Callithrix jacchus: one gene and its partners. The protein of the gene in region 7 interacts with the protein of the main gene of each other region in a biochemical or structural test. Links are inferred from orthologs where the notes say so. Each region holds a gene or a part of one and is shown on either strand. Other genes may lie near its edges.

Region 1 (3,500 bases), on a different chromosome or scaffold from region 7:
CAGATGAGAAAACTGATACTCAGAAGGTTTCTTAACTTGGCTAGGTAATACAAGTAGCTAAGCGATTAAATCAGGATTTCATACCAGGTCTGTCTGATGCATTTTCTTTTAAAGCAATACTCTGTGTTGCAAACAGTTCCAACAGCAAGAATTCCAAGTGCAGATTTCTCCTTGTGTCCTCCCCACCCCCAATCCTATCATCACACTCAACCTGCTATTTAATCCCCGGACCCTAGGCTGTTCCTTAATGCCCTTGTCTGTTGCACCCCCAACTCCTTCATCCTTGGGCAACTCTTACGCTCGGTTGAAAACTATGGTGTAGCAATGTCTACAAATAACAAAAAAATAGCACCTGTGGCTGGGCATGGTGGCTCACGCCTGTAATCCCAACACTTTGGGAGGCAGAGACTGGTGGGTCATGAGGTCAGGAGTTCGAGACCAGCCTGACCAACATGGTGAAACCCCGTCTCTACTACAAATACAAAAATTAGCCAGGCGTGGTGGTTTGCGCCTATAGTCCCAGCTACTCAGGAGGCTGAGGCAGGAGAATCACTTGACCCTGGGAGGCAGAGGTTGCAGTGGGCCAAGATTATACCACTGTACTCTAGCCTGGGAGACAGAGCAAGACTCCATCTCAAAAAAAATAAAATAAATACATAAAAGAAAACCCAGCACCTGCGGTGGGAGCTGATGTTTGTCTAGTGCAGTATGGTGAGGAATAACAGGAAGCATGAGACACATCATCTTCTCCCACCTTCGTAGTCACCTGGGAGGTAGATATTACCATTATCCCTATTTTATGGATGAGGAGGCTGAGGCTCAGACAACTTCCAAAGTCACACAACTGGGAAGTGTTGCACTCAGAGTTCAGAGTTCTGTCTTTCAGTCTACTGAGAGGATCTGCCCCGCCCATGCATTTTTCCTGGTGGTTTGAGTCAGAACTCAGGCTGCCTAAACTCTCTGGATTGGGGTTGATCGGGACCTGGAACATACCTGGTCTTCTCGGGTTCTGTCTCTGAGGAAGATCTGCTTCTGTTTGGAGATAGAGGTTGTCCTGTAGTAGTCCACCAGCTTATTTAGGGAGGGGAACTTCTCCGTCCATAGGAAGTAACTGCCCTTATTGTCTCGCATGACCTTGAAGTGTTGAACGTCATCCTCATGCCTGGAGATCAAGGCAAAGAAACTGTATGTTATACTATGATGATGTCCCTGCCTCCAGGCTGCTTGCATCTGGGATGCAGCTCTCTTTGGGAAGGAGATGTAGATTTGGATGACTCCCTCATCACCAGGCAGGTGGGCCAGCCCAGTCAGGCTTCAGCAGGAGCTTTGTAGGATGAACCACTTAGGATACAAGCTATGATAGAGGGGATTTACATCAGAAGAAGGTAATGAGATGAGCTAAAATTTGTCTTGGACACTGGAACTAACCTTTAACAAGAAAAGCATGTTCCAAGTGTTGTAACGACTGAGAGATCAAAGACCTTTTCACAATGTCTATTTGCAAAATCTCAGTGTGGGTATTTCAAGCTCCTATTATCTTTCTGTTACCAGAGTACTTTGAACCACTTCCTTTAAGCTCATAAACCAGCACTGGCAGGTAAGAAGCTACTCTCTTCCCTAAGAAATATGTCACATTTGTTCTCTATGTAGTAAGAATCTCTTGATCTTGGTTTATGTTTTGCATAAATAAGGTTACAAAGCATTTTCAGCTTTTGGGGAAAATAGCTTTGTATGAAATCAGAGGTTTTAAATGTTTCTTTTCTTTTTTTTTTTTTTTAGACAGAGTCTCACTCTGTTGCCCAGGCTGGAGTGTAGTGGTGCGATCTTGGCTCATTGCAACCTCTGTCTTCAGGTTCAAGTGATTCTCCTGTCTCAGCCTCCTGAGTAACTGGGATTACAAGCGCCCACCCAATGCCTGGCTAACGGCTAACTTTTTCATAGTTTTAGTAAAGATTGGGTTTAACCATGTTGGTCAGGCTGGTCTTAAAGTTCTGACCTCTGGTGATCCACCCACTTTGGCCTCCCAAAGTGCTAGGATTACAGATGTGAGCCACCATGCCGGGTAGAATGATCAGAGTTTTAATTGAAAAGGATCTTGGAGATTGTTTAGCCTTACTTCTCCATTTCACAGATGAGAACACTGAGAGGACTCAGAGAGGCCCAGGGTTGAGGCCAGAACCCCTGAGTCTCTGACTCCAGTCTAGTGAGCTTGGCCTGTGATAACGTCTTTTAGATCAGCACCTTTTGATACCAGTTTAGATTCACAAGTGATGGGACACGTGTGAAGCAGGGCTAGAGAAAATGGATTTCATCTATCTAGGAAGGGTGGGCTGAGCCTTTACCATTATTAGATCCAGTATTACTTCATTGCCAAGTCATTCTCTTTTGGAAGTAAGTCTGTTTTTCAAACAGTCATACATTTATATCTAAAAATAAATTGGCACTAGTGATGCCAACTGCCTGATAGAAAAGAAAGGTTAAGGATTTTAAAGGGTCTCAGAGAATAAAGATACCTCTGAGAGTAAGTGGAGGTTTCTTAGGGATGGATTTATGGATCTGTGTTAAAAAGGAGATGGAAATTCTGACCCTCAATCTCATCTTATGTGCTGGGATTTGCTCATAGCGGGGTGAAGCCAAAGGTTGTACAAGTGGCCTCTGGCTTGACTGATTTGGGGTGGTAATCAATACATCACAATCACTGCGTAGGCTTCCCTTTGGTTTTTGGCCACCAATAGATACTTTCTTCATTCTAAGACAACGTGGCTCAACTCAAAGTCATTACCCTTCACATCTGGGTCAGGAGGAGGAAATATACTTGTGATATTATAATTTATTCATCCACCACCTCATAGTCAAAGAACTCAGAGTGTGAAACACTGCCCCTTTTACTCTGACGAGCTGTAAAGATGGATGTGAGGGTTGTAATTGGTCATCTGGGTCTACAAGGAGAGGCCTGACCACTGTCTCAAGCCTGAAGAGGAACAGAGGAAAGGATGCGATTCAGGGCAATAGACTCTGAAATCTAGTGGTTTAGGCCCTTAACAAATGCAGAGTGATAGAACTACAATTAGCTCTTAATTATCTGTGCCCATGACAGATGTAAAAATAATTAACAATGATTTTGCTTTGGAATATATTATACTACATTTCTGTAGAAGATGTGATAATGATTATGGTAATTGCCACCAGAACTAGAAGCTTCATTGCCTCAATATCAGGGGAAGACTTTGGCAGAAGTCAAGGCTGTTTTGTAAAATTCATTTTAATAAAGGAAATATAAACCATAGTTTCAGGGTCGGGTGTGATGGCTCATGCCCGTAAGCCCAGAACTTTGGGAGGCCAAGGCGGAAAGATCACATGAGGCCAGGAGTTCAAGACAAGCCTGGACAACATGGCAAAACCCCCTCTCTACTAAATCCCTACTCACAGACACAAATTAGCTGTGTGTGGTGGTGCAAACCTGTGGTCCCAGCTACTGGGGAGGCTGAGGCATAAGAATC
Region 2 (3,500 bases), on a different chromosome or scaffold from region 7:
ATTATGTGCCTTGGGGTTGCTCTTCTTGAGGAATATCTTTGTGGTGTTCTCTGTATTACCTGGGGTTGAATATTGACCTGCTTTGCTAGTTCAGGAAAATTTTCCTGAATAATATCTTGAAGAGTATTTTCCAGCTTGGATTCATTCTCTCCGTCGCATTCAGGTACACCTATCAAACGTAAATTTGGTCTTTTCACATAGTCCCACATTTCTTGGAGACTTTGCTCATTCCTTTTTAGCCTTTTTTCTCTAATTTGTCTTCTTGTTTTCTTTCATTAAGTTGGACTTTGACCTCTGTTATCCTTTCTTCTGCTTGAACAATTCAAGTGTTTAAACCTGTGCATACTTCTCAGAGTTCCTGTATTGTATTCTTCAGTTCCATTAATTCACTTATATTCCTCTCTAAGTTGTCTATTCTCAATAGGATTTCGTCAAACCTTTTTTCAAAGTTCCTAGTTTCTTTATGTTGGGCTACAACATGTTCTTTTAACTCACAGAAGTTTCTTATTATCCATTCCTTGAAGATAATAAGAAACTTATTGGGATGTGCTCGTTCTCCATCAAGCCTTGTTCCATTGTTGATGTGGAACTGTGATCATCTTTAGAGGGAGAGGCGTTCTGATTTTGAGTATTCTCAGCCTTTTTACGCTGGTTTCTTCCCATTATTGTAAATTTATCCTCCTGTCGTCTTTGAAATTACCAACTTTCAGATTAGGTCTCTTGATTGGATGTCCAAGTTGTTAGTTCCCAGGGCCAGAACGGAGGTGTTAAGACTGATGGTGCTTTTCTGCCCAGGATTCTCCTGTCTGGCTTCCTTCTTGTGTCCCTAATGGGCGACTCTGCCTTCCCCGGGCTCCAAACCTCAGTCAGAAGGGGAACCAGTCTTGTTTATTCTGCGCCGAGAGCTGCCGCGCCGAGGTGCGATCACAGCCGCTGCGCCAGCTGTCAGGAGTCGTGCTGGGGACCCGTGTGGGTCCTCCAAATCTCGGTCAGAAGGGGAGCCGGCCCTGTTTACTCTGCTCCAAGAGCTGCCGCACCGAGGTGCCGGCGAAGCCGCTGCACTGGCCACAAGAGTCGCGCTGGCGACCCGTGTGGTTCCTCCACTGGGGATCTTCTGCTCCAGGAGTGACCAGAATTTGTCTAAAAGTGTGGCGTCCTCTAGTCCTCTGCGCTTTGACTGAAAGCTGCAATCCCGAGCTGTTATCAATCGACCATCTTGGATCGTTCCTCCATTTTTATTTTTTATTTTTATTTTTGAGACAGAGTCTTGCTCTGCTGACCAGACTGGAGTGCAGTGGTGTGATCTCTGTTCACTGCAACCTCTGCCTCCCAGGTTCAAGTGATTCTCCTGCCTCAGTCTCCAGAGTCACTGAGATTATAGACACCCACCACCATGCCTGGCTAATTTTTGTATTTTTAGTAGAGAAGGGGTTTTACCATGTTGGCCAGGCTGGTCTCAAACTCCTGACCTCAGGTGATCCACCTACTTCAGCCTCCCAAAGTGCAAGGTTACAGGTATAAGCCACTGTGCCGAGCCAAGAGTGTGCTCTTGAATGAGCCACTTAACCACCCTGAATTGCAGCAGCTGTTTCCTTCTCAGGGTTGCTATGATGACTGAAAAAGGTCGTTCAGCAAGTATGGTGAGTGGTACCTAGAGCAGAGTTGTGAAGAGTTGGGCTTCGGGAGCTGAGAGGCCTGGCCTGTATCCCAGCTCCGTCACTTAGAGAACTTTGGCCCAGTCAGTTCATTCCTCTGACCTCTTTCACAAGATTATTGAGGGGGGCTAAGTGGACTCCCAGGGGAAAGCCCTAAACTGTAAATGAGAAGAGCTCTGGGAGTCTGTCCGTCTTGCTTGCAGCTGAATGCTCAGTGCTTAGCATAGTTCTGGTGCACTGCAGGAGTTCGAGACCAGCCTGGCCAACATGAGGAAATTCTGTCTCTACTAAAAATACAAAAATTAGCCGGGTGTGGTGGTGGGCATCTGTGATTCCAGCTACTTGAGAGGCTGAGGCAGGAGGTTGAATCCAGGAGGCAGAGGTTGCAGCGAGCCAACTTCATGCCACTGCACTCCAGCCTGGGTGACAGAACAAGACTCTGTCTAAAAAAAAAAGAAAGAAAGAAAGAAAGAAAAAGTGTCTGCCCAGACATAAGCTTAGCTGTGTCCATTTAACGCATGAGGCTGATTCCAAGCTTGGGGCTTCTGAGCACCTGTACCCCCTGGTAAAATGCCACAGTCTGGACTAGGCATGGGAATAAGGACAGGCAGACACTGGGATCCTTGAAGGTCATTGTTCTGTACAGACTTTAGGAAAATTCCAGCATCTGGAGCACATGAAGCACTAAAAGTGGGGACTAATCTCAGGGCTGCTTTCCCTGTGACTGTTGGTCAGGGGGCACAATGATCAGGGTATGCTGGTTTTATTTATTTATTTATTTTTGGCTGCTTTCAATGTTCCCAATCTAGGAAAGATGCCCGTTCCCCTGGAATGAGAAACCCTTATAGCTTGAGCTTCATTAACTGAGAGACCAGAACCCCTGCTCGGAGGTGATGGGAGTGGGAGGCAGGCAGAAGCCCTCAGGCAGCAGCCACGTTTGCTCCCACCCTGCAATCTCGGCCACCCCACCGTCTCATGGGCCTGGAAGGCAGAGTGCCCAGGTCTGCAGGGGGCCTCACCTACATACTCGCCCCTGGCGAAGGGCAGGGCTGGGTGAACCGGCCTGGTCTCCTGCTCCACCGGAGGCGGCTCGTAGCTGTCATCCACATTCTCCTCGGCAGGCATCACGTACATCTCTGAATCCGAGTGCTCGTCTGGATTTTCATAGTCACTGTCCTGCAAGTGCAATGCAGTTACTGTGCTTGGCATCCCTGTCTGTGCTGCCCTCGCCATAGTCAGGACCATTGCTGCCTTGGGAGGCTGAAGCAGTGACGCCAAGACTTGGAGAAGCTGCCAAGGCTAGGCAGTTGGTAAGAGGCAAAGCTGGGGTTTGAAGCAGGCATTTTTACCGCCAAAGTTTATCCCTTCAACCACTGTGCTGTCCTGGGGGTACACATGAACCACTTAACGCTATTGGGAGTTGACTCTCTGTAGATCCACAAGGAATAACAGTAGGGGATAATAAAACCTATTTTTAAAAAGGCTGATCACAAGGTCAGGAGATCGAGACCATCCTGGCTAACATGGTGAAACCCCGTCTCTACTAAAAATACAAAAATTAGCTGGGCATGGTGGCACGTGCTTGTAATCCCAGATACTCAGGAAGCTGAGGCAGGAGAATTGCTTGAACCCAGGAAGCGGAGGTTGCAGTGAGCCAAGATCGCGCCATTGCACTCCAGTCTGGCACCTGGTGACGGAGTGAGACTCTGTCTCAAAAAAAAAAAAAAATAAATAAATAAATAAATAAAAAGGATAGAAAAAGGGGCTACCGTGGTGGCTCATGCCTATAATTCTAGCACTTTGGGAAGTTGAGGTGGGCAGATCGCCTGAGCTCAGGAGACCAGC
Region 3 (3,500 bases), on a different chromosome or scaffold from region 7:
ATCCCCCCACCGTCTGAAGGGAGGGGGTTCGTCATTTCTTGAAAGAATGGTCCATGTGGCGGGAGGCTGCGGCCCCCTCTGTGAGACCCTCCGGTCAACAGGGGAAGCCAGACCCACGCTCCATGCCCTGCGGACTCCTTAGTCCGAGAGGGGAGGCCTTGTCTTTTCTCTGTGGGACCTGCTGCCTGCCGGGGCTCGGGTGGCCACCTGCTCTGTGGGTCGTGCACCCGACTCTGGGACTCCCTGATCTGATGAGGAAATTAAGCTTTCTCTCCATGTGACTCCGAGGATTCTTCCTATGGAAGTCCCAGCCTGACGGGGGAGGCGCAGCTTCCTGCTTGAAGGAACCCCTGGTCCAAGGAGGGAGGCTCGGTCCACACCCCGACACAGTGGCTAGTCGGATGGAGCCCCTTCCTTCCTTCCTTCCCAGTGGGATGGCCCAGCCCGAGGGAGGCCCCAGTCTGAAGGAGGAGGCTCGTCCTTCCTCGCCAAAGGTGTCCAGAGTTGTCTCTGGATTTCCTGCAGCGTCCGTGCTGCAGCACGAGGGGTGCTGGCTCTGAGCTGCCGGGTGGGGTCCTCGCCCAGGCCCCGGACACCTCCCCAGCTGGCTGTAGGTTCCTTCCTTCCCTCCACCCTCTGACAACGCAGCTTCTTAGCATCACACTGATGACACCAGCTGGCACCCAGTGGGCGCCTCCTCAGCACCAAGCGCTGCACAGAGCCAGGCCCTCTCGGCCCCTCGCGGCAGCCTCAGATGGGAAAGGAGGGGCTTGAGCTGTGAGTTCCCTCCGAGGCAGGCGACCCTCAGGGCGACCGGACTGACTGCCAAGCAGCCCCCAGTGAGGGAGGGCGGCTTCTCGTCTGTCCTCCACGCAGAGTCCTCTGGCTGCTTCTGATTTGCCACATGGTTATTCCCAAACCAACTGCTGGCTGGAGGGCGAGGAACATGCAGAGTGGCCAGGCTAGGAGTCGGAGGTGGCTCAGCGCCAGGGTCAGGGCGGGAGGACTCCGGGGACCAGGAGCTGGAGGAGTGCAGGGCCACCCCACCACAGGGAGACCAGGTGGTAAGGGTCAGGGTGGGAGGACTCCGGGACCAGGAGTTAGAGGAATTCGAGGCCACCCCACCCACAGGTAGCTGCATCTCCGTCAGGGCCGGGGTCCCGGGCTGCAGCGTCTGAGCTGCACTGCTTTCTGCCTGGGGAAACACCCACCCCTGCTTTACAGCGAGGGGACTGAGGCTCCCAGGAGGCCTGAGTGGCCTGTTGGAGGTTGGTACCATTGGAACCTTCAGGAAACCCGGGCGGATGATTAAGAGGGTTTTCGCTGGCGCTCAGGACCACAGAGGGAGCCTGCTCCCGTGTGGGCGTGTGGCGTGTGCTGGAGGTCGTGGCCAGCGCAGTAAGGCCAGTGAGGAAACAGGAGGGGACCCTTCAGGAAGGAAGCCCGCCTAACAAGGCGAGAAGGAGAAATAGGAGTTTATGTCTGAAACACAGAGTGGCTGCCGCCCTCTTACAAGCTTACAAAACTCAGCCCGGGCTTCCAGCTGCTGCACACGTGAGCCACAGCACGCATGGGGCTGAGTGGAGTGCGGGTCTGATACGCTGTGGGTGCTCGGTCAGCGCAGGCCGATAAGGTCAGGGGGGGCCTCCCCGGGGAACCCGTTCCTCCCAGCCCTCGTCCTGGCAGGAGCAGCTGCCCAGACCCCTACGTGGTCCCTGCCCTCCCAGCTCTCCTGTCCCTGGTCTGCAGGATTCCTAGGGGAACCCGTTGCTCTCAGCTCTGGTCCCGGCAGGAGTAGCTGCCCAGCCCCCTACGCGGCCCCTGCCCGCCCAGCACTGCTGTCCTTGCCCACAGGACCCTTTGAGGATGCCTTGAAGCTGCATGAGTGCTCAGTGGCCACGGGTACAGCAGCCCCCCTTCCCTTGGAGGACCAGTGGCCCAGCCCCCCAACCCGCCGGGCCCCAGTGGCCCCTACAGAGGAGCAGCTGCGGCAGGAGCCCTGGTACCACGGCCGGATGAGCCGCCGGGCGGCAGAGAGGCTGCTTCGTGCGGACGGGGACTTCCTGGTGCGGGACAGCGTCACCAACCCCGGGCAGTATGTCCTCACTGGCATGCACGCGGGGCGGCCCAAGCACCTGCTGCTGGTGGACCCTGAGGGCGCGGTGAGTGGGCACAGCTGGGGGGAGTCTGTGGGCATCCGACCCTGAGGGTGCGGTGAGTGGGCACAGCTGGGGGTTCTGTGGGCATCCGACCCCGAGGGTGTGGTGAGTGGGCACGGCTGGGGGGTCTGTGGGCATCCGACACCGAGGGCACGGTGAGTGGGCACAGCTGGGGGGCCTGTGGGCATATGACCCCAAGGGCATGGTGAGTGGGCACAGCTGGGGGGTCTGTGGGCATGACACCGAGGGCACGGTGAGTGGGCACAGCTGGGGGGTCTGTGGGCATGACACTGAGGGCACGTTGAGTGGGCACAACTGGGGGGTCTGTGGGCATCGAACCCCGAGGGTGTGGTGAGTGGGCACGGCTGGGGGGTCTGCGGGCATCCAACCCCGAGGGTGCGGTGAGTGGGCACGGCTGGGGAGTCTGTGGGCATCCGACCTGGAGGGCGCGGTGAGTGGGCACAGCTGGGGGGGTCTGTGGGCATATGACCCCGAGGGCACGGTGAGTGGGCACAGCTGGGGGTCTGTGGGCATCCGACCCCTAGGGCATGGTGAGTGGGCACAGCTTGGGGGTCTGTGGGCATATAACCCTGAGGGCACGGTGAGTGGGCACAGCTGGGGGGGTCTGTGGGCATCCGACCCGGAGGGCGTGGTGAGTGGGCACAGCTGGGGGGTCTGTGGGCATCCGACCCGGAGGGCGTGGTGAGTGGGCACAGCTGGGGAGTCTGTGGGCATCCGACCCAGAGGGCGTGGTGAGTGGGCACAGCTGGGGGGTCTGTGGGCATCTGACCCGGAGGGCGTGGTGAGTGGGCACAGCTGGGGGGTCTGTGGGCATATGACCCCGAGGGCATGGTGAGTGGGCATAGCTGGGGGTCTGTGGGCATCTGACTCCGAGGGCACGGTGAGTGGGCACAGCTGGGGGTCTGTGGGCATATAACCCTGAGGGCACGGTGAGTGGGCACAGCTGGGGGGGTCTGTGGGCATCCGACCCGGAGGGCGTGGTGAGTGGGCACAGCTGGGGGGTCTGTGGGCATCCGACCCGGAGGGCGTGGTGAGTGGGCACAGCTGGGGAGTCTGTGGGCATCCGACCCAGAGGGCGTGGTGAGTGGGCACAGCTGGGGGGTCTGTGGGCATCTGACCCGGAGGGCGTGGTGAGTGGGCACAGCTGGGGGGTCTGTGGGCATATGACCCCGAGGGCATGGTGAGTGGGCATAGCTGGGGGTCTGTGGGCATCTGACTCCGAGGGCACGGTGAGTGGGCACAGCTGGGGGTCTGTGGGCATATGACCCCGAGGGCACGGTGAGTGGGCACAGCTGGGAGGTCTGTGGACATCGACCCCGA
Region 4 (3,500 bases), on a different chromosome or scaffold from region 7:
ACAGGCCCAGCCTCTAAACAGTCCTTTTTATTGCTTAGGAACGCCTAGGAAAGAAAGATTTTCTCCTGCGTGTTGGGCAGGTCCTCTGTGGATGGCACCCTCCATGTCTTGATTACTGTGACTGCCAGGGGCACAGCTAAGCCCATCACTCACGGGCAGCTGGCAGGTGCACACAGCAGCAGGTGACCCAGAGCCTGCCCAGCTGCCCGGCCCAAGCCATCCAAGCCCTTCTGACAGGGGCTGGGGGCTGGGGGCTGGCGTCCACGATTCTGCCCATTCAGGATGGGGCTTTTGGAATCCACTATGGGTGTGATGCCAAGGTAGGCACAACCCGTCCTCAACTGAGAACAGACCACTGGGAATAACTTTGAATTCGGGTGTGCCTTTGTCTTGATTCCAGTCTGTGAGGCTTGTGACCTTTGCTGGAGGAAGGAGGCAGCCCTGTGGCCTGGAGTCATAGTGATGCAGGGGCCAGAGCTCCACCCCAGATGCCACACCTGGGTCTCCGTCCCCACCCTGGGACTTACTCTGAAAAGAAGGGGGCAGCCACAGGCACAGGGACAGGACCTGCCGCCAGAGCCAGCAGGGAAAGCAGGAAGCCCGTGAGAGCTGCGGAGCGAGCCGCCTACCTGGGTATGGCACCCGCCCGTAAGTGACGACTTCCATCAGGAGGACTCCAAATGACCACACATCAGCTTTGATGGTGAAGACCCCGAAGTGGATGGCTTCTGGGGCAGTCCACTTGATGGGGAACTTGGCCCCTGCAGGAAAAGCCATGCACAGCTTTGGGAGGCCATGGTGGGTGGCCTCTACTCTCCACCCTACCCTCACCCTACCCCTGCTCCTGCTGTCCTTCCCTTAGTCCCCCACTGTGGGGCCTTGCAGGACAGGGCAGCCAGACACGGTGGGGGAGCCACTGCCACACACCAGGATGCATGCCAGGTGAGTGCAGAGGCATCTGCAGCACAGAAGGACAATATGGACACTGGTACCATGCAGTCCCACTTTGGTTCTTTAAAAATAGAGTGAGTGGCGTCAATGGGCAGCCACCACATTTCCACCTGGGATGGAAGGGGCGTGTTCCGCCTCACAGGGGCCTTGTTTAATAAAGAAAACACAGCCTGGGTGAGCCATTCAAAGCTGGTGGAGCCTCTGTGAGTCCCTTCCTGCCAAATGGAAACGGTGACACTGGCACCTGGGAGGCCGCTCCGAGGAAGGACTCACATCCGGCCACCCTGTGAAGCCCGAGGTGGCTGGGCCTGGCCAGCATTTGGAGCAGGCCTCAGAGTCTGGCACATCATGGCCTCCCCTGGCCTACATTTCTCGGTCTCCCCAGCCAGCCTGAGTTCCCGAGAGAGCAAACCATATCCCGTCTGGCTGTCACTCGTACGCTAAGCGAATACAGCTTGCTTGCTTGATAAATGTGTGTGATCACTTCAGTTTCTCTTGTGAAGGAGATTTCCACCTCAATTATATTCACAGAGTAAGACAGAGGGCTCTGTGGAGATTCTAATTCACAGAATCAGACAGAATGCTCCGTGGACCCCGTAATTCAGAAGGTTTGCTGCTCACGCATGAAAGCTGTGTTTCCCACAGTGTGCTCTGGGAAAGCCTACTTCTGTGGAAGGTTAATAGGCGCTACATAAAAATAGTATCTGGGGCTGGGTACGGTGGCTCATGCCTGTAATCTCAGCACTTTGGGAGGCCGAGGCAGGTGGATCACCTGAGGTCAAGGGTTCAAGACCAGCCTGGCCAACATGGTGAAACCCTGTCTGTACTAAAAATACAAAAATTAGCCAGGTGTAGTGGTATTTGCCTGTAATCCCGTCTACTTGGGAGGCTGAGGCAGGAGAATTGCTTGAACCCAGGAGGCAGAGGCTGTAGTGAGCCAAGATTGTGCCACTGCACTCCAGCCTGAGTGACAGAGACTCCATCTCAAAAAAAAAAAAAAAAAAAGTATTTGGAGCTCAAATTAGTTTGGGAGGCACTAGGTGAGGCGAATGTAAACGGTTCCTTTGCTGCAGGACTTCTCAGTGCCTTTAATATGTTGATATACACTGGGAATCTCCAAGGCAGGGAGGGGGTGGACTACTGTTTCTCCAAACCAACCTTATCCTAAAGCTGTTCCTCCGTGGGAGGTCTTGGGGCACTACTGTGCTGCTGAACACATCGGGGAAGTGAAAGAAATGCTGATGTAGAGTTTGGAAACAGTCTAGCCCTCGGGTGTCTTCCCTCAGGGCTGTGCTGGGAGGAATTAAGGGGGCTTTGAGGGGCTGGGGAAGGTAAGGGCTCAGGTTTCTCTCGTGGTTGGGGGCTGTACTCACCCTCCTGGGCCATGTATTCACTGTCGATGATCCGAGCCAAGCCAAAATCAGCAATCTTGCAGCACAAGGTCTCAGACACCAGGATGTTAGCCGCCCGCAGGTCGCGGTGGATGGAATTCATGCGCTCGATGTACGCCATCCCTTCAGCAATCTGAGGGAACAGGTACACGGTGAAGTACATCATGGGGGCCTCCACACCAGGACCGAGCCCACCCTGTGGCCCCTGCACAGCCCCTGTGGGCTGCTGGGGAAGGAGCTGCTTCTTGGGTGGAGTAGAAAGTTGGCTGTGCTGCTCCTCAGCTGAATAAACCCCTGTCCTAGAAGCCCAGGACGGCAGCAACGTGGGCATCAGAGACACCGGGCTACCTGTGCCCCTCCCCCTCCTCATTTTCCCTCGACACAGCTGTGTCCAAGGTCTGCAGAGATGGAAGGTAGAAGAACACAGACAGGAGAAAAGGAGAGTGAGGGAGAAAAGAAGAAAGGGAAGGAAGGAGACGGGGAGCAGGAGACAGGGACAGGCGACTCTCCCCGGCTGGCTGGGAGCACAGCTCCTGGAGCTGGGAGCCCTCGGCTGGAGTCACTGACCTCCAGGAAGTGCTTAACCTCCCCGAGGGGCCACAGTCCTGACCTGGAACGTGAGGGATATGGTTTTCAGGGCGCGGGGTTGAGGCAAGCATTAGATGAGGTGACTTGTGGCCGAGGACCTTGCCCAACACCTGCCTCATGGGGGCACGCAGGGAGCACTGGCAGATCCGAGTGGACAGAGACCGTGAGGAAGACAAGCCTGGTCTCTGCTCCCCAGCTCACCAGCTGGGCCAGGGATAGCAGCTTGTGCTGCTTGGTGCCTTGTAGCTGAGGAAACTAAGGCTTTATTCAATCAGTGGATGGAGAAACTAAGGCAGACAGAAAACAGAGAGCACATTTACCTCATCAGACTTGCGACTACAAGAAGCCAGCACTAGAATTGATCCCACTTCACCTGATGCTTGCATTTCATTGGTTTATCCATGAATCCATCCATCTATCCATGCATCCAACTCATCCATCCATCCATCCTTCCATCCATCCATCCACACATCCATCCATCCATCCATCCACACATCCATCCAACCATCCATCTATCCATCCATCCACACATCCATCCATCCATCTATTCATCCATCCATCCTTCCATCC
Region 5 (4,292 bases), on a different chromosome or scaffold from region 7:
CCATTCACAGTGGCCAGTGAACAATGAAGCAAACCATGGACGGTACAGAGCCCTAATTAATCATGCCATGCACTGCCACCCGTTACTGCAACCCCTTAAATGTGGCAACAGAAAGTATTCCCAAGACACAGATAAGCTCTGTGCAGATCCAGCCCTTTGACCATGAATACTGCTGCTGATGCTGCCGGTAAGTCACAAACTTACAGCAACAGATTGTCGGTGGCGAGCTGTCTTATTTTAGGACATTCATCATAATTTTGCCACTTTTGACCTTTCAAACTGGATGCCTGCCTTCTTTTTTACAAAGCCAAAGCAAAGCCCTAAGTAAAGTGATTAAAACAAAAATTTAAAGGCAAGTTTGAGAATTCTCCCTCAATTTGAAAACAACTCTGTTTAATATGACAGGTACAAAAAGCTTTGCCAAGGTCTGTTTGTCTATTTGAAATGTAGTCTTTTTAAAACAGCCATTATACTCACACTCTAGAAGTCAACACAGCCTCAAAGCCATCAGAGGTTTTTGTTTGTTTGCTTGCTTGCTTTGGTTTATCCTTTTTGTTTTTGGCCCCTGGTTACATAATTTAAATAAGCAAAACAAGAAGAATCTTCAGTTTCTCTTAAAATAAACTCAACCAAATATGTATATTTTATGCTCATTTCTATTCCTTTGGTAAAATAAAATAATTATACTTAGAAGCTAAAATCAAGATTAAATTAAAAGGCAGACTGAAAAGATGAAGAGGCCCTCTTCTAAGACCAATGGTCACATTCATCTGCAAGTACTTTTTATATACTTAAAGGCAACCCATAAAGTTAAGTATTTCTGTTAATGATTTGGTTCCAAAATTACCAGATATTGCATTTTACCTGAGAATATGTTCTGTTGGATTTTAAAACTGGAATCTGCAGCATTTACGGAATAGACATCCTGCGGGTTTCTCAGTGTTATTGAGGACACCGAGGGGATAGAGTTTGTGTCTCATTTCTTTTTCAATACAAAGCCATGCCTTGGAGTGGCAGGATTGTAACACTGCAACTTCCAACCTTAACCCCTTGTGTAGGGGATGTCTGCTCGGCTGTGGAGGCTGGGAAAGCTCGGGGCTGCCCAACGGACAGAAGGAAATAACCGCGTGGCAGATTACTTGAACTGTGCTGAGGATTTTTCCTTAAATATCACAGCACGCTTGCATAAGGGTGGAATTTTATGGACTACATCGTGATTTTATCATCTTTGTGTTGGAGGAAAAAAACTCCTTTCCAGCCTGTGGCTCCTAGCTCAGCGCCCTCGTTCCTTTTTAGCACATTTAAATGGAAGACTACAGTCACCAGAAAAGTAGTCCTAGAATTCTTGTTTCGCTGCTGTAAACCAGAACCTTTCCTTAAGGAATGAAAGACAAACCCAAAGAAAACCTGGCCTGGGTGAGAAAGTAGAGCCCGTCGAAGAGAAAGCAACACAGCATTTGGCCTGCTCTGCAAGGAGCTGGGAATTCTTGCTGCGGTGGGAATAAGGTACCCACCCTCCTGCAGGGGAAGACACAGCAGGAGTAGGGCCACTCCGTGCTTTCTCCTCCCCGGGGCTGCCCAGGTCTCCCCAGCGCGTTTCCTAGATACTAGGCAGACCGGACCCCCGCTGTCCAGGACTGGGCGCCCACGACACTGGCCGGACATCTGGTAAGCCAGGTGGCAAAGGCGTGCCAAAAAAGTGGAGCCCAGGGAAAATCGGGACGGAGCGGGTCACCCGAGTGGTAAACCTTTTCCCAAAGGATGCTGGAAAGGCGCATTTGTAGTTCCCTCCTCACCGCTGTCAAGCTAGGTGATTACTAAGGAGTGCGCATTTTCTTGCCTCTAACGTGACAGTCGCGGGTACGCCCCGCACTCCGGGCTTCAGGGAAGGAAGGGGTCTGCCCCGAACTGGCCCCCACACAGGCCCCGGGACCCCCGACACCCAGGGCAGCCCGCGCTCACACCCACCTTGACCACGTAGGTGACTCCGGGCCCCAGCACCTGGTCGCTGGCGTGCGGCGCCCCCCGAGGGGGCCTGGGCAGCGGCTCGTCGCCTGGCCGGCCTTTCCTGGCGGCGTTCATGGCCGGGGCGCGGGGCGCCGGGGGCGCGCTGCCGTCCGGGGCAGCCAGGCTGGGCGCGCTGCAGCTGCCGGAGAGCCGCGCGCCCGCCCGCTCCCGGGCGGCCGACGACAGGCCGCGGAGGCCGGAGCTGGAGAGTTTCAGGTGGGACACCTTGTGGAGCAGGTGGCCCAGGCTGCCGGGCCCATCGTCGGGCGCCTTGCGCAGCGCCTCGCCGGACACCAAGTAGGGAGCCGCAGCCGGGGTCGAGCGCGCCGCCGAGACCTTGCCTCCGCCGCCGCTCACCGACAGACTGTGGAGAAGGTCATCGACCGATGTCACCGAGTCATTCCTGAAGCGGTTGTACTTGGTGCGTGGAAGCATGCCCCTCCGTGGGCTCGCTGCATCCGCCCGGGCGCTGCTGGTGCCGGCCCCGGCGCGGGCTGCCGCGCATAGCAGGCGAGCCGCTGTCCCCGGAGCGGGACGGAGAGTGGGGGCCCCGGGACAGCCTTCTGGAGAGGGAGAGCAGAGCACGAGAATGGTGCCCTCCCACCATTAAAAACCAGCACAGCAGCGGCCGCGCAGCCCCGGCCCGGGAGACCACTGCTTGGGGTTGCACGTTTGCTTTGCAAAAGTCATAGTTGCCTCTGATGGAGCGCCCAGCTGCTTGGGGCTGCTCACAGCAAAAGCATGACTCACTCTGAGAGGAGACCCTTCTCAACAAAGGCTCGGTGAGCACTGCAAATCACTTCCTGTAGCAGAAAAAAAAAAAAGGAAAAAAGAAGAAAAAAACGACATCCACCCGCTGACAGCACACTAGAGCCAATCAATTCTCAAATTTCCTTTTTCTACCTTCCCAGAGATTTCCTTCCAACCTTTGATTTTTCACCTTCCCATCCCCCGCACTCTGCATTTGTGCCAAAGGTAAATCCAATCCAGTTCCTTCAAATCGTCAAATGAACTTTCTGAAACCCATTATTCTGTTAGGGTTTGCTCGTCCCTGCTCAGCCCATCTGTGTGAGCCTGTAAAAGTGTCTAACAGCGATGCGTTAAAATGTGACGAAGGCTTTTTAAGAATCAGATCTTCAGCGAATCCTGATGAATCCTGACTTGGAAGGCAGCAGGAATTTTTAAATAGAAAAAACAAAAAGGATATTCACCACCAGGTGAACATAAAATACCAATTTCCTGGGTTTTTCTTTTTCTTTTCAAATGAACAGAGCAGCGATGACAAGTGTCTTTGTGGCAATGCAGTTCCTTAAAAAAAAAATCTGCATATGAACTTCTGCACAGTGCCAATCAAGGGGTCTTCCCTGCTAATTTACAGCAGTCTTTCTCAGCCAGGGTTAAGTTGAATATCCACGTCCAAAAAAGAAGAAAACTGCTGCTTTGACGAGTGGCTACAGGCTCCAGAAATCCATTCCAAAATAGGGGCTGCATTTGAAGCTTTATTCCTACTGAATGTGTTTAAGGTCTGGAAAAACGCCTAAGAAATGCTGCAAATACATTTCAGTGTTCCTTCGGTTGCTGCTTGCAACCCTGCAGTCAGGAAGGAAAAAATGCAGCTGTTCTCATTGCACATCAAATCCACAGGGGGGAAAATATGCCTTCTTTTCAGGAGTCAGGCTCGGGCTTGCAAGTAAAATGCACAGGCCTTCTTCCTCTCAGTTAGGAGAGCAAGGCTTTCGCCGTCCCCGAAGGTCTGCCCGAGACTGAAGCTGACTCTTGACTTCAGTGGGCTCTGCCAGCCTTCCTCATGCATTAAGATCACCTGCTCCACAGTGAAACACTCACTATCAAAGTTTCCCCGCAACTTCCGAGCAAGAGAATAAATTCACCTTTAGCGCACTCTCAGGTCACCCTGAGTCCTCTCACGCCCATGACCGAACATGTGGGGCACGTGAGGTCCCCAGTCTTGAACCCTGCTCTACGGAGCAGCGTTTAATGAGCACCACTCATGGCGGGCGAGCGGGTGAAGCCAACCACTAGGACGCAGGAGCGCAGAGGAGCCGCGGCGTCCCCGGCACAGGAAGCGCGTCCCCACGGCTCGCCTCCTGTGCCGCAGCCCTAGCAGAACAGCCACACGGCACTCATTTGTTCCTTTCCCCTGGCTTGCATAGCAACAGCAATTGCACACCCCATAGAAGATTTTGATGGTTATCAGAGTCCTCCCCAGATCTGAAGCGAAACAGCCCTATCATTCCCAAAGCGAGATCTTCATTAGATGCGGACAA
Region 6 (4,150 bases), on a different chromosome or scaffold from region 7:
TAGTCATGTGTTTGTTTGCTCTCTCTCAGCCACGAAAACAGCAATATATCCCTATTTATTGCTTTATCCTACCTGGCTCATTAACTACTTGTTGAATGAATTAATACTAGGTTAAAATAATTTGAAGTCCGGGCACAGTGTCTCATGCCTATAATCCCAGCACTTTGGGAGGCCAAAGCAGGAGGATCGCTTGAGCACAGGAGTTTGAGACCAGCCTGGCCAACATGGCAAAACCCTGTCTCTACAAAAAAAATACAAAAATTAGCCAGGTGTGGTGGTACACACCTGTAGCCCCACTAATTGGGAAGCTGAGGAGGGAGGGAGCCAAGGAAATCAAGGCTGCAGTGACCACACCACTGCACTCCAGCCTGGGCAGCAGAGTGAGACACTATCTCAAAAAAACCATCATAATAACAATAATAATAAAATAAAATTCTAGGGCTGCGCAGGGTGGCTCATACCTATAATCCCAATACTTCAGGAGGCCAAGGTGAGAGGATCACCTGAACAAAGGAGTTTGAGACTGCCGTGGGCAACACGGCAAGACCCCATCTCTATTCTAACAATTTTAAAATTTTTAAAAAATAAAATTCTAGGAAATGCAAACTAATATATAGTGACAGAAAGCCTAAGAACAAAGGAGGGATTATAAAGAACACGAGGCAAAATCACGAGAGATGGTAGATGTGTTCATTATCTTGACTGTGGTGATGGTTTCCCAAGTGTATATGTATGCCAAAACTGATGAAATTGTACATTTAAATATATGCAATTTATCATATGTCATTTATACCTTATTAAGGCTGCTTAACAAATAAAACAGATTCACAATCCAAAAAAAATAAATCATTCAAAATTATATGTATTATGTTCATAATCTGGCTTTTTGGGTGGTACACAATATCAGGGCTGGAGGGGAGAAGTCATTGCTCCATTTTCAAACTGTCATCTTTACCATTTACTTGCTGCTTTGACTATGCCCACACTTCTCTGCTTCTAAACCAACAAACTGGACAATGTAGGGTCTATTACTCCCCAGACCTTTTCCCAACCCCCAGCCCCCTTTCTTTTTGTCTCCTAAAGCAGCAGATCCTTACTTGTCTGGAAGAGCAGACACCAGGAACAAAAGGCTCAATGACTATTTGACAGATTAAAGAATAGACAACTGTTTTATTTAAAAGCTCCCTAAAGAATTAGAACATTTGAGGCTACACACTGTTCTGTTGAAATGCAGTTATATATTACCCAGATCTGTAAACACTTGCCAACAGACCTGTCCAAGTCACTCACTTCCAACCAGTTCTCAGTTTTCTTTTTTCTCCCCTTTTTAAGCTTCAGATCCATGTATGAATAACATGGCAGGTGTGTTTGGAGGAGGCATTCCTAATATTTTGAAAAGTCTCATTCAAATAGCCCCAATAGCTTGAATCGCTTTTTAAATGTCTATGACAGTGACCATAATTGAACAACCATGGAAAAGAATAGATAATGGGTCTTAAGTGTGGTGGTATATACAGTGACCACACAAAATAACAGGATCATTATCTGAAAACAACAGGTCACACCACTGTTTGACAACAAAATTAAGGCTTACAAATAGTTACAAAATAATAGAAGCAACATACTGATTAAAGGTAGGGATTCTGTCTCCACCACCTACTTGCTGTGAGGCAATTTGCTTAACCTTTGAATCTCGGCCTACTCATCTTTACAATGAGGATAACAGCCATCTGATAGGGCCGCCAGAACTAAGCAAATGTTAGCTATTAGTAGTATATTTACCCTGACCTTTCAAAGGATCTCATTAACTCACTAATCCTCCTTAGTTTCAAATTTTGTCATTTACAGCACGTAACTTCTGGGCCTCGGTTTCCTCATCCATAAAACGGGTACCAGTAAAGTGACCTGACTTTAAGGTTGCAGTGAAGGATTAAATAACGAGAATGTGGCTCCCTTCCTTTTCATCTCCCAAAGCGAAGATCGCAGAGGAAGGAAATACTTCTAGTGGCTGCACATACAGTCAGTTTTTCCATTTCTGGCACGTGAGGGGTAGGAGAAAAAGAAGACACAAAGGGGCATGTAAAAGCCTCAGGGGTCCTGCGTAGTCCCCAAATGCACGCAAGTGGCACAGTGACCCAAAACGGCTAGACCACTGGGGGTCCGGCCCCACGCAACTCCCCTCTCATGTCCCAAGGAGCCTCCCCAAGTGAGCAGTTATTTCGGAATCACCATGAGGCAATTCTCATGAGGCAATGGGTCAGGAATGCGGCGCTGAGCCGGTCCGCCGGCGCCCGTGGTTCCCTCGGCGGCTCTACCTGCCCGGGGCCTGACGGGCATCCCCCGGGCTGCCGCAGCCGGAACTCGGGGAGGCAGGAAATGAATGGGAACCCGAGGGGTCGGGGCGCGGTGGGGTCGGCCTCCGGCCCCGGGAGGGCGAGGGGACGAGGAGGGAACCTGCCCCCAACCCGATCCGGGACGGCAGTCCGAAGCCCGGCCGGGGCGCCCCCTTCCGGACGGGGCTGACAGAGCGCGGCGGGGGCCGGGCCGAGGCCCGAGCCGGGCCCCTCAGGGCTCCTCACCTCCGCGATGTCATGTTCCTCCCGCCCTCCGGCTCCGCGACGGACCCGCTCCTTGCTCAGGCTCCGCTGGGCTCGGTCACATCGGGCTGGCCCGAGGGAGGCCCGCTCGGGACCGGACGCAGGACAGAGCCAGCCGGCCGCGCACAGACCCCCCTCCAGGCCTGGGGATCCCGGAGACTGTGCAGCCGCCCCCCGGCCCGGCTCGCTCCTCCTCCGCCCCCGCCCTTCGCTGCCGTCGCCCCGTGATGTCACCGCTCGCGACGCCCGCCGCCACTTCCTGCTTCCCGTCAGCCGAGAACTGAGCGACGGCCGAGAATGGCAGCGCGGGGTCTCCGCGGAGGCGCCACGCGCAGTGACCAAAGCACCCACGTTTCCTCCTGAAAACCGCGGCCACCGGGTGTGAGCTGTGCGCTCCGCCTCTACGCGGCTTCACCGACCCGGCGCTTTCGGGCCCGCTGCCACATCGATTTCATTCATTTCGTTCCACAAATCGCCGCTCCTCTCATTAGCTGTGGATGGAACCTTAGGGAAATTACTTACTGTCTCCGAGCCTCAGTTTCCTCCATTATTTATTTATGTAAGATAAAGATAGTAGGCCGGGCGCGGTGGCTCAGGCCCACCATCCCAACATTTTGGGAGGCTGCGGCTGGAGGATCGCTTGAGCCCAGGAGTTCGAGGACAGCTTGGGCAACAAAGCGAGGCCTCATCTTTTCTACAAAAAAATAGAAAAAAACTAACCGGGCGTGGAGGCTGCGGCGGGAGGATCACTTGAGCCCGAGAAGTCCGGGCTGTAGTGAGTTGTGATCACACCACTGCACTTCCGCCTGGGCGACAGGGCGAGACCCTGCCTTAAAAAAAAAAAAAAAATACTTTGGGCTGAGCGCTATGGCGCACGCCTGAAATCCCAGAGGCCGGCGAATCACTTGAGCCCAGGAGTTAGTGACCAGCCCGGTAAAAATAGTGAGATCCCATCTCTACAAAAAAAAATACAAAAATTGACTGGGCGTGGTGGCGCGCACCTGTAGTCCCAGCTACTCCGGAGTCTGAGGTGAGGATTACTCGAGCCTGGAAAGTTGAGACTGCAGTGAGCCGAGATCGTGCTACTGCTCAGGCAAGGTATGGTGGCTCACGCCATCCCAGCACTTTGGGAGGCCGAGAAGAATGGATCACTTGAGGTCAGGAGTTCAAGACGAGCCTGGCAAATTTGGTGAAATCCTGTCTCTACTAGAAATAAAAAGATTAGTGGAGATTGGTGGCGCACACCTGTAGACCCAGCTACTCGGAAGGCTGAGGTAGGAGAATTGCTTGACCCGGACAGGCAGAGGTTGCAGTGAGCCCAGATTGCACCACTGCACTCCATCCTGGGCAACAGAGCTAAACTACTTCTCAAAAATAAATAAAGGGCACAGATTTAGTGAATGGCAGAGCCATAAGTTTAACCCATGTCTACATAGCTCCAGAATCCTCATTTGTTTAATGCTTGTCCATTACATTCACATACAAATAACTCTCATACTGTGTGCTAACTGCTTCAGCACTCATGCTCCTGACAAAGATCACTTTTAATATAT
Region 7 (3,500 bases):
CCAAGGCAGGTAGGACCCAGCTAGAGAAGCCATGCCAAGAGGCCAAGCCAGCCAGAGCTGAGTCAAGAGGGTGCACAGGGACAGGCAGCCTGAACAAGTCCAAGAACGCTGCTGCCAGAACCCTGTGGGCACTCCTATGTGCTGGCAGATGGGGAGTACACACTGGGCTCCCTGTCTTACCACACTCATGCTCTGGCCGGTTGGCAGTGTGGAGCAGGGCTTGGTGCGGGTTCCGGAAGAGATTGTCCCAGGGCACCGTGTGCACGAAGCAGAGGCGTGCATTGTGGTGGATGAGGGCCAGTCCACTGCCCAGTTCCCGCAGTGAGCGCAGCCCCAGCCAGCTGATGCCCAGGCCTTGCAGGGTCAGCAAGTAGGCGCCACTATGGGAGAACGCACGCCCTTCACAGTCAGCAAAGGCTACCTTCATCTTCCTCTGTCCCCAGCACACTCTACAAACTCTCACGGAAAGGTTACTGCTGTGTCCCGGGGGAAAAGGAGTACTCCCCCAGGCCAAAAGCTTCCCACAGGGACTCCTCCCCTATCAGGCCCCCTCTTTCCCAGTGCTCACTTGTGCAGAATTCGTCCTCGGATTACTTGCAGGTTCTGGAAGACGCTGAGGTCGGGCAGGCTGTCTGGCCATGCTGAGATGTACAGGTAACCTGCAGGTAGAGGGTGAGATGAGGGGGTTGGAGACACGACAAGGACTCCCAGCCCCTGCAGAGCATGATACAAAGACAGGGCCCACCTGTGATCTCTTCCAGAGTCTCAAACACTTGGAGCTGCTCTGGCTGTAGGGGGACGGTGTTGGAGGCTGGGTCCCTGGAGGAATCAGGAGAGGAGTCAGCAGGGCCAAGAACAGGCTGGACATCACTCCCAGCGCTGGGTGTGCCAGCCCACTCCCCGCCGTGAATGCCTTCCCTCAAACCCTTTGCCCATCCAGGACTTCAAAGCCCAGGCCTTAGTTTGGCAGCATCTATGAAAACAGTATTTATCCTTTGATCTAGAAATCTTGTTTCTAGGAATGTGACCTAGGGAGACACTGGCCTGTGTTCCCAGAGCCACATACGAGGTGGAACTGTTTGTAAGAGTGAAAATGGAACATGATCCCAATGTCTATTAGTAAATAGGGGAGCTGTTAAATAAAACCCTGAGCCACCAGACCACATAATAAAAACCAGCATTTAGGAGCACTTAGTATCTGCCAGGCACTGTTCCAAGAGCTTTACAAATATTAACTCAGAGGCCGGGTGCAGTGGCTCACTCCTGTAATCCCAGCACTTTGGGAGGCCAAGGCGGGTAGATCACGAGGTCAAGAGATCGAGACCATCCTGGTCAACAAGGTGAAACCCTGTCTCTACTAAAAATACAAAAATTAGCTGGGCATGGTGGTGCGTGCCTGTAGTCCCAGCTACTCGGGAGGCTGAGGCAGGAGAATTGCTTGAACCCAGGAGGCGGAGGTTATGGTGAGCCGAGATCATGCCATTGCACTCCAGCCTGGGTAACAACAGCGAAACTCTGTCTCAAAACAAAAAACAAAACAAAACAAAAAAAACACAAATATTAACTCATTCAAATTTTATAATCATCTGGCCAGGCACAGTGATACAATCATCTTATGAGGCTGGGACTATTCTTGGTCCCATTTTACAGATGAGGAAACTGAAGCACAGCATGAGGGTCACATGCCTAGTAAGTAGTACAGCCAAGTAGTCTGGCTCCAGGTTTCAAACCTAGGTAGTCTGGCTCCCAAGTCTGGGCTCTTAGCTGCCTCTCCTTGCTGCCATCTTCTCAGCAGCTATTGAGAGAACAAGGCAGTTCGACTCCCAAAGCAAGGTGCAGACAGTGCTCCCCATATGCTCCCGTTTACAGAAACCAACCTCCCCACCAAAACAGTGAAAACCACACTTCACTGTGTGTCTACAGATGCATAAATGGTCTAGATAAACAGACACACTGTTAACCCTGATCCCCTCTGGACTGGAGAGTGGAGGTAAAGGAAACATGAAAGAGAATTTTCTTTTCTTTCTTTTTCTTGAGACAGGGTCTCACTCTTTCAGCAGTGCAGTGGCATGATGTCAACTCACTGCAACCTCCACCTCCCAGGCTCAGGTGATTCTCCCACCTCAGTCTCCCTAGTAGCTGAGACTACAGGTGAACACCACCATGCCTGGCTAATTTTTTCTGTTCTTTGTAAGGATGGGATTTCACTATGTTTCCTTGAACTCCTGGGCTAATCAATCCTCCTGCCTCAGCCTCCCAAAGTGCTGGGATTACAGGTGTGAGCCAATGCCTGTAATGTGCACCACCGAGCCTGGTGCTTTTTTTTTTTTTTTTTTTTTGCAACAGGGTCTCATTCTGTTGCCCAGGCTGGAGTGCAGTGGCAAAATAGCTCACTGCAACCTTCACCTCCCAGGTTCAAGCGATTCTCCTGGCTCAGCCTCCCAACTAGCTGGGACTACATGCGCACACCACCAAGCCTGGCTAATTTTTTTATTGTAGAGACAGGGTTTCACCACATTGGCCAGGCTAGTCTTGAACTCCTGACCTCAAGTGATCTGCCTGCCTGAACCTCCCAAAGTGCTGGAATTACAGGTGTGAGCCACTGTGCCTGGCCCCAATTCATTTTTTATTGAAGTATAACTTATATACAATAAAATACACAGACTCTGAGCATACAGTTTGATGTTTTGACAAAAGCACTCACTCATGTATCCACTACCCCAATCAATATACAGAACATTTTTCTTTCTCTTTTTTTTTTTTTTTTTTTTTTTTTGAGACAGAGTCTTCCTTTGTTGCCCAGGCTGGAGTGCAGAGCCACGATCTTGGCTCACTGCAACCTCTGCCTCCCAGGTTCAAGCGATTCTCCTGCCTTAGCCCCCTGAGTAGCTGGGATTACAGGCACGCACCACCACGCCTGGATAATTTTTGTATGTTTAGCTGAGACAGGGTTTCACCATGTTGGTCAGGCTGGTCTCGAACTCCTGACCTCATGAGCCACTCTCCTCAGCCTCCCAAAGTGGTGGAATTACAGGCATGAGCCACCATGCCTGACCCAGAACATTTTTCTGTTACCCCAGAAATGTCCCTTGTGTCCCTCCCTTTTGAGGCCCCACACACACTAGCGCAGCCACCGTCCTGATCTCTCCAGCCACAGAGTGGTTTTGTGTGTTCACAGCCTCACATAAAGGGGATCAGACAGGATGGAATCTTGGCTTCTTTTGCTCAGTGCAATGTGCCTGAGATTCATTCATGTTGTATTGGTAGCTCATCTCCTTCTGTTGCTAAGTAGAATTTCACCAAATGGATATACTGCCGCTTGTTTAACCTTTCATCTAGTTATGCACATTTGAGTTTTTTATAATTTGGGGATATTTTAAATCAAGCTGCTATGAACTCAAAGGGAATTTTGCTTTATCTAGATGGTCTGACCTCCTTACAAGTCCTTGTTCACAGATCGCATGTCCTTTACAAAAATAACCACCCCCACCCCAAAGGCC

What was found.
Region 1: the proteins of ERBB2 (region 7) and GRAP2 form a complex in vitro, tested with the Homo sapiens proteins (2 studies listed by BioGRID and IntAct, with this or other methods). The link is inferred for Callithrix jacchus from reciprocal best matches to the Homo sapiens genes ERBB2 and GRAP2.
Region 2: the proteins of ERBB2 (region 7) and BLNK form a complex in vitro, tested with the Homo sapiens proteins (2 studies listed by BioGRID and IntAct, with this or other methods). The link is inferred for Callithrix jacchus from reciprocal best matches to the Homo sapiens genes ERBB2 and BLNK.
Region 3: the proteins of ERBB2 (region 7) and SHC2 form a complex in vitro, tested with the Homo sapiens proteins (2 studies listed by BioGRID and IntAct, with this or other methods). The link is inferred for Callithrix jacchus from reciprocal best matches to the Homo sapiens genes ERBB2 and SHC2.
Region 4: the proteins of ERBB2 (region 7) and BLK form a complex in vitro, tested with the Homo sapiens proteins (2 studies listed by BioGRID and IntAct, with this or other methods). The link is inferred for Callithrix jacchus from reciprocal best matches to the Homo sapiens genes ERBB2 and BLK.
Region 5: the proteins of ERBB2 (region 7) and SHC3 form a complex in vitro, tested with the Homo sapiens proteins (2 studies listed by BioGRID and IntAct, with this or other methods). The link is inferred for Callithrix jacchus from reciprocal best matches to the Homo sapiens genes ERBB2 and SHC3.
Region 6: the proteins of ERBB2 (region 7) and PTPN11 form a complex in vitro, tested with the Homo sapiens proteins (2 studies listed by BioGRID and IntAct, with this or other methods). The link is inferred for Callithrix jacchus from reciprocal best matches to the Homo sapiens genes ERBB2 and PTPN11.

What each region holds. Positions count from the first base shown.
Region 1 is NC_133502.1:190,692,082-190,695,581, reverse strand, and holds part of GRAP2 (GRB2-related adapter protein 2), read right to left. Parts: intron 1,163-3,500; coding exon 994-1,162; intron 1-993. UniProt on the Homo sapiens protein: Interacts with SLP-76 to regulate NF-AT activation. Binds to tyrosine-phosphorylated shc.
Region 2 is NC_133513.1:89,066,060-89,069,559, forward strand, and holds part of BLNK (B-cell linker protein), read right to left. Parts: intron 2,832-3,500; coding exon 2,675-2,831; intron 1-2,674. UniProt on the Homo sapiens protein: Functions as a central linker protein, downstream of the B-cell receptor (BCR), bridging the SYK kinase to a multitude of signaling pathways and regulating biological outcomes of B-cell function and development.
Region 3 is NC_133523.1:421,351-424,850, reverse strand, and holds part of SHC2 (SHC-transforming protein 2), read left to right. Parts: intron 1-1,854; coding exon 1,855-2,162; intron 2,163-3,500. UniProt on the Homo sapiens protein: Signaling adapter that couples activated growth factor receptors to signaling pathway in neurons. Involved in the signal transduction pathways of neurotrophin-activated Trk receptors in cortical neurons.
Region 4 is NC_133514.1:10,499,035-10,502,534, forward strand, and holds part of BLK (tyrosine-protein kinase Blk), read right to left. Parts: intron 2,476-3,500; coding exon 2,325-2,475; intron 762-2,324; coding exon 630-761; intron 1-629. UniProt on the Homo sapiens protein: Non-receptor tyrosine kinase involved in B-lymphocyte development, differentiation and signaling. B-cell receptor (BCR) signaling requires a tight regulation of several protein tyrosine kinases and phosphatases, and associated coreceptors.
Region 5 is NC_133502.1:73,024,775-73,029,066, forward strand, and holds the start of SHC3 (SHC-transforming protein 3), read right to left. Parts: upstream 2,801-4,292; 5' UTR 2,443-2,800; coding exon 1,969-2,442; intron 957-1,968; exon of another isoform or gene 910-956; coding exon of another isoform or gene 865-909; intron 1-864. UniProt on the Homo sapiens protein: Signaling adapter that couples activated growth factor receptors to signaling pathway in neurons. Involved in the signal transduction pathways of neurotrophin-activated Trk receptors in cortical neurons.
Region 6 is NC_133510.1:115,365,349-115,369,498, reverse strand, and holds the start of PTPN11 (tyrosine-protein phosphatase non-receptor type 11), read right to left. Parts: upstream 2,801-4,150; 5' UTR 2,594-2,800; coding exon 2,580-2,593; intron 1-2,579. UniProt on the Homo sapiens protein: Acts downstream of various receptor and cytoplasmic protein tyrosine kinases to participate in the signal transduction from the cell surface to the nucleus. Positively regulates MAPK signal transduction pathway. Dephosphorylates GAB1, ARHGAP35 and EGFR.
Region 7 is NC_133506.1:120,174,685-120,178,184, reverse strand, and holds part of ERBB2 (receptor tyrosine-protein kinase erbB-2), read right to left. Parts: intron 820-3,500; coding exon 746-819; intron 660-745; coding exon 569-659; intron 381-568; coding exon 181-380; intron 1-180. UniProt on the Homo sapiens protein: Protein tyrosine kinase that is part of several cell surface receptor complexes, but that apparently needs a coreceptor for ligand binding. Essential component of a neuregulin-receptor complex, although neuregulins do not interact with it alone.